2 linked regions of the Saccharomyces cerevisiae S288C genome follow. Changing the gene in region 1 together with any one later gene gives a genetic interaction. Each region holds a gene or a part of one and is shown on either strand. Other genes may lie near its edges.

Region 1 (3,796 bases):
GCACATCACGATGATTCATCAATGTATTTTATTTTTATACCTTCGTGTGTCTGTTGTACCCAAAAGAAATGATAAAAATAGCTCAAGAGTATCCTGACTTTATATAACTAGCAATTTTATCTAAGAGAGTAATGCCGTTGCACCGGCTCTTGTTTAGTTTTTTTATGTGGTTACTCTTTTACAATATACTAAAATTGCAACTCATTTGCTTTTTTCATTTCTTTTCCTTCAATTTTTTTTTTTTTTTAGTCTACGGCTAACAAAAAGCATAGGCTCAGAATGATAGATAGATATCCGATAAATGTCAGTAAAGACAAAGAAATCAGTAAAATAAACGTTTCACCCTGGCAGATAGGAAACCCTATCTCCCAGTGATAAACTTTAATTTTTTTTCGTGCATATATATATATACATATATAATATAAAACAAAATATCATGAATTTCTATCTAAAGTAGTGGGAAAAAATATGTCGTTAAAAATGGGTATAATATCCAAGCAAAGCTTTTGGCTTTTTTTTTCTTGAAATGAGTGAAGGGAAGGCTCAATAAGCCTAGTCCTGCATGGCATATACATCCTTGTAAAATTGTTGATTACACTTCAGTTGTAGCTGCCAGTACCGCAGTTGGGAACATGAAAGTGTGGTATCTTGACATGAGCAAAGTTGTTGCAATATTGTATCTTTCCAACTATTCACTAGGCGCTCCGTGACCAAGACATGTAACTCCGACGTAAGCTCGTCCTGGTAGGGATCCTCGAATAAGTCGGCATTCCCTAGCAATCCATTACAATGGTACAGGACGTCTAAATCTTGTGTATTGTTTATGATAAAGTTGACCAGCGGATACATCGAAAATCTCAATAGCTTTTGCTGGAGAAACCACACTCTTAGAAGCTTTGTCAAGTTGGGGCAGGTATATCCATGAATGATGACCAGCATTGTTATAGCTATGGATTGCCAATCGACACAACTCCAACGAGCGATGCACTCTTTGAACAGGCACGAGGCCATATTGATGTCCGGGTCGTCAATTATTTTCCCAAGGAAGCGTATGAATTCCGTGGTCAACGAGTTCCTCATCTTATTGATGAACCACGTCGTGTATTCTTGTCGGTTCAATATCATGTTCCCGTAGCAATTAAACCATAGGATCCCGAAAATTTTGCCTTGGATAATATCGATCAAAGAGGTGCTGTCTTCTGGCGGCGATGACAGCGCTGCAGTAGTGGTTTCCTCTGCTGACGACATCGAATGACCCGGCGACGGCAGCTGATCTGTAAGAGCAGAGGTAACTGCAGCCGGATTGGCCCTGAAAACTGAGTAAGGCCCGTGTTTGGAGCAATTGAGGTTGACCACAGATATGTCGTTTTCCACCATATTAAGCAATTCGTCCAACTTCTTGTCTATGCGCTTTTGAGTATAATCTCTATTTGTCATGCTACCAAAGACAGAGGCCACAGCGTTATTGTATATCTTCAATCTCCGTACGCTTATGGTGAATGTATTATCGTTAGGAAGCGTAGTTTCCTTACTTGCCTCGTGCACGCTGTCTTCGCAGTCACTTGTCGGGGGTGATAGTTGTCTAAAATGGGTCATTTGTTTAAACCTTGATTTTGAGATTTTCTGGCACAATGGTTTCGATTTCGATTTGCGAGCCTGTAATGAACTGATCAGTGAATGCTTGCGTACTTTGTAGATGTTCTCCTCTAACCACATAAGTCTGATATCGTAACTACAATTATCTCCATGTTTGGCACACAGTGAACAGATTGGTCTATTCTCGTCGCATCTGCGTTTCTTGAATCTGCATGCCCAGCACCCAGTAAATGTCCTCCCCTTGGTGGGGGGCACTTTGGAGGATGACGCTACTTTCTTGCTTCTCTGCTGCCTCTTACTATTGACCATTTGGTTCTAGTGCGGATATATATATAGGCTATATATATACGTGGTGAAATGAAATGAAAACGCTTTTAAAGTGTGCAGAAATTGTTATAGCTCTAACCCGTAGTATTAGTTCCCCATATAATTCCGACCGAGAAAGGTGCACCCACTTGTCATACAAATTGTACATATATATATATATATATATATATATATATATATATGTATATATTATACCTGCAAGCAATTGCACGCGAGTACTCTGCGTGAGTCAAAAGACTGTGGTAAAATGGTACCCATCTGATGCAGGAATTCCGACTCTTTCAAGCTAAATGCCGTTTCATTTTGGCACGGATGCATTCGCAGATTGGTTGGAAATCCGCATACATCAAATGCGCCAAGAGGGCTGCCATTGTATATTCCTTTTCTCGGCAGTCCTGCCGGATGCATTTATGCCGCTAAGACGCAGAACCGAATATTGGGCTCAGGAAAATATGCAGATAGACGCTCGCCCGTGAGCGACTCATGACGCGCGTGTGCTATTTTGGCCCCGGCAGTACAAGCGGTAGTCATGGTTTCCGCCACACGGATCTCATACAACAGCAATCCATTTGGTTTGCCTAGTTCCGTACATATACATAGATACTAACTAAATGAGTGCATATACTCATGTAGCCGTTCGTTACTAGAAGAAGAAGAAAATAAAAAACAGATGAATAGCTAGAAAGAAGTAAAAAATAGTTGCTTAGGTATATATGACTGGCTACAGATCAGTAGCCAGCCCAAACCTCGCTGTATGTAGTCTTGCCCTTTGTCTCGGGTACACGCTTGTACACATATGTAGCAAACATGGCAGCGATGGCGGCGAAGATCGCAAATACGTAGCCGCCCATGAGGCCGTGGCCTATCGGGAAGAGGTATCCGACGATGAAGGTGGCAAGCCAGTTGCACACAGTACCAAAACTTTGAGCTGTAGCGGCATCCTGCGGGTAGGATAGCTCACCAATGATCAAGAAGGGGATGGGTCCCAGACCGATGGCGAATGCGGCAATATAGACAAAAGTGGCCGTGACCAGTAAAAAGGATACGCTCAAGGTGAGACCTACACTGATCAGCAGCGACATGGCGGTCATCACCGTAGTCGAGGCAAGCAATAATGGACGGCGCCCGACGTGGTCGATGATCGCAGATGCTGCTAGAGTGACAACGACATTGAGGATGGAAATGGCAAAATTTACCTGAATCGAGTAGTCCGGTAGAATCTTGCCGATCACTTTTACACCGTAGAAGATAATAGAGTTGATGCCGCAAAATTGCTGGCACGACAAGATGGCGAGTATAACTGTGCGCGGTTTCTTGTATGAGGGATCGGTAACATATTGCCATAGTGTGGGTCCTGAATGAGTCTCTTCGCTTGACTCCGGGTCGCGGTTGTGCCCATGGCTACGCTGCCAATCCTGAATTTCTTGCTTCGCTTGTTGGTACGTTCCTGGACGCAACTTGAACAGAGCAGTTTCAGCTTCCGAGACGAATCCGTGGCTCACCAGCCACCTTGGAGATTCGTCCACTTTGAGCCAAGCTAAAATATTCGCTACCGCAATCACGGATCCGGAAAAGAGAAGCCACCTCCAGTTATAGGAGTCTGCGTACTTGAGTGCCAAGGTTTGGGTCAGCAGGATACCTAGATTGATAGAAACCTGATTCATAGATCCCATAGCGCCTCTCCACTCCACGGGGGCAATCTCGTTGATAAATAAGGGTGTGATCACAATGGCGGTGCCGCAGGACATGCCTACCAGGAACCTGCCAAATAGCAACTGCAAGTAGGAGTTGGAAAAGAAAAGCAGCAGAGAAGAAACCATGCACATGGCCGAGGCGCCCATGCTCACGTACTTTCTTCCGTATCGGTTGGCCC
Region 2 (2,754 bases), on another chromosome or scaffold:
ATGGGAATATTGTCTGTTGGAAGTTTATAGAAACAATAATGCGTGTGTATTTATGTATGTTGAGTGCATATATATGTAGGTAGATTGTTTTTTTCTTTTGATTATCATTCCTTAATCGTTATTCTAAAATGAAGACAGCCACAATCTGTAGTTTTGTTGGGCGGCATTGGCATAAAGATCGGTCAATTTATCACACGACTGGGTAGTTTTGGCCGCGACGGCCATGCGACAATCCTGGACGTTATTCATGGCTTGGTGTTTGTAGTTGTTTTCTTGAGGGTTATCTAACGAGAACACAGTCTCGTCCGAGGCAGAACTTGTGTTCAAATCGAACTTCCCGGTGTCTCTCGGTACCACGAAAGGACCATTCAAATTATTATATTTGGCATCTTCCGAAGTATTGAGTGAATAATGCTCACCAAGTGACACATGCTCGGTAAATTGATAATTGGCAAAAGATAAGGGAAACACCTCATCGTCTAAAGGAGTGGCATAGTTTGAAGACATTTCTTGGTTTTATTGTATGTGTTATATGAGAAATTCAATTCTCCTTGTCATTAGTTTGTCTATCTATATATATTAACAAACAGGCTAGTGCTGAATGACTACGGAAAACAAATATTACATGCAAAAATTTTTGACAATAATGAGTAAGAGGCACATGCACTAGAGCATAAAAATTATGAACGTGTCTAGCTACATATATATCAATTAAATTAGTCTATCCGCGTAGCCAAGAAAACGATAACAAAGGGTACTTTACCCACTTGAAGGTGTCATTAACGCTGGTATGATAACCCGCTATCAAGCTGCATAATCTTTCTCCTACTATGCGCGTCTTTTGTTTTCATTTCACGGAATGACTCTTCCGCGGAGATTGGGCCGCGCCAGAAAATTTTTTTTCATCCGCTTCAGTCATTTCTGTCTGTTTTCTGTGCGCACTCTACGCTGATCGCTTGCGGCGGTAAAATTCCCCTGATATCCACCAAGGTGCTGAAAATCGAGCTACGGGGCGCTCTTGGTACGGGAATGGCAACAGAAAGAGCAGCTAGCTCGAACAGCCAGCTCTTTTTGAGGGGGGTAACACGTATGCTGGCAAAGGGCACAGGGTCTTATTACCCCTCCTTTGGTACGGTGGTCACCACAGTAGCAGAAGCGCTCGGATCATCGCTTCCACGTCATGCCCACGTTTCGTTTCCATGCGGAAAAATGCCCTCCTTAACATGACCACTTTGGGGGTTTTTGTATATTGTTTCTTAATTGCTGATTTGTGCAGTATCCTATCGTTCGTTCTTCACCCCTCCCCTTAAACCTTGCTAGCGTTTTGATATTTTTTGTTTCCTGTCACGTTCAATACTACAAATTACACATCTCAATCGGAATCGCGGGCGCAGAGTTTTTCCGATGTTGCCCGTCGCTAATATTTGGCGACTTTTGCACGTGAACGACGTCCCCACAATAAATTTCGCAAGGAGCGGGCGTGCGTTGTTAACGTCATCCGTTAGCGAGACTTTTACGGATATTACTTTTCACCCATGGGGTGTATATGAGAGTTCAGAAGAGGGTGTGGAGAGACAGAATATTACTGTTCTTTTTTTCCAAGATATTGAGCGTTTTTTTAGTTGTTGAGATTTGTTCAAATAAGAGGTAAATATGTCTAATCCATGCCAGAAGGAGGCCTGCGCCATCCAAGGTTTGTAATATTAACTTCAAAAGATTCGATCGTTTTTTTCTTTTCACTAACGTTTTTTCACATTAATTTTAGATTGCCTTCTATCACATCAGTACGATGATGCTAAATGCGCTAAAGTTATAGATCAGCTGTACATCTGCTGCTCAAAATTTTACAATGACAATGGAAAAGATTCACGGTCACCCTGCTGTCCGCTACCTTCGCTTCTTGAGTTGAAGATGAAACAGCGAAAGCTTACACCAGGGGACAGTTGAGGCTTCCAATTGGCCCTTCTTTCTACGTATGTATGAACTAGCAATTGAAAAAAAAAAAAAGGTATGTGCGTGAAGAGAATCTAATCATAAGTACATTATTCGTACTTCCAGGGAAGATCCACTCACTTTCTTTATGAAAAAGAAATATATTTATCTAAGATCAACCGCGAGCACGACAGTGAAATAGTATTAGTACTCCACCGTATAGTAAACGATTAAGTAAACTATATACGTCCACCGCCTAAAAAAACTGTCGAAACAGAATCTCTAAAACCAAGACGAATCGTGACTCTGGGTGTCTATTATAAAAGACATTATTACCCTTTTTCAAAAAACCAAAAAAAGGAAAAGAAAAGATTTTTTAAATACCAATAAAGATTCTTGCACCACAGGAACTTCTTCTAAACTCACCGCTTTATATACCAGAAAAAGATATAACGGTACGAAGAAAAAATAATATTCATACTTTTCGGGTAACACTTATATTGCTTCAGAAAAAAAATGTAGGGTTGGTAACGACTATCAGCTCAGTACATGGGCTTTTTGCATGGCTAGTGGTACTTTACTCTAGGCCCTCTCATGTGTGAAAGTATTGGTGGTTTTTTTTTTGGTGTTATTTTTTCCTAAGTTAAAAAGAAAATATGATATCTATATATATATTACAAAAATCAGTTTTTAGAAACTTAGTGACGACGAGAAGCAGCAATGATGTTGTTCATTTCTTCGACCTTAGCCTTGGCTCTGGTGAAAGAACCCAATCTCTTCTTGGCGACCTTTCTAGCTCTCTTTTCACCAGAGTTTCTTATT

What was found.
Region 2: mutations in THI2 (region 1) and CMC4 together harm fitness more than expected from each alone (negative genetic interaction), as found in Saccharomyces cerevisiae (one large-scale study listed by BioGRID).

The regions. Positions count from the first base shown.
Region 1 is NC_001134.8:699,938-703,733, forward strand, and holds THI2 (Thi2p), read right to left. Parts: upstream 1,906-3,796; coding exon 553-1,905; downstream 1-552. Other genes in the region: ERT1 (Ert1p), read right to left, coding at 1-6; VVS1 (Vvs1p), read right to left, coding at 2,652-3,796. UniProt on the Saccharomyces cerevisiae protein: Positive regulator of thiamine biosynthesis.
Region 2 is NC_001145.3:651,787-654,540, reverse strand, and holds CMC4 (Cmc4p), read left to right. Parts: upstream 1-1,653; coding exon 1,654-1,693; intron 1,694-1,765; coding exon 1,766-1,947; downstream 1,948-2,754. Other genes in the region: ICY1 (Icy1p), read right to left, coding at 124-507; 60S ribosomal protein eL36 RPL36A, read right to left, coding at 2,631-2,754.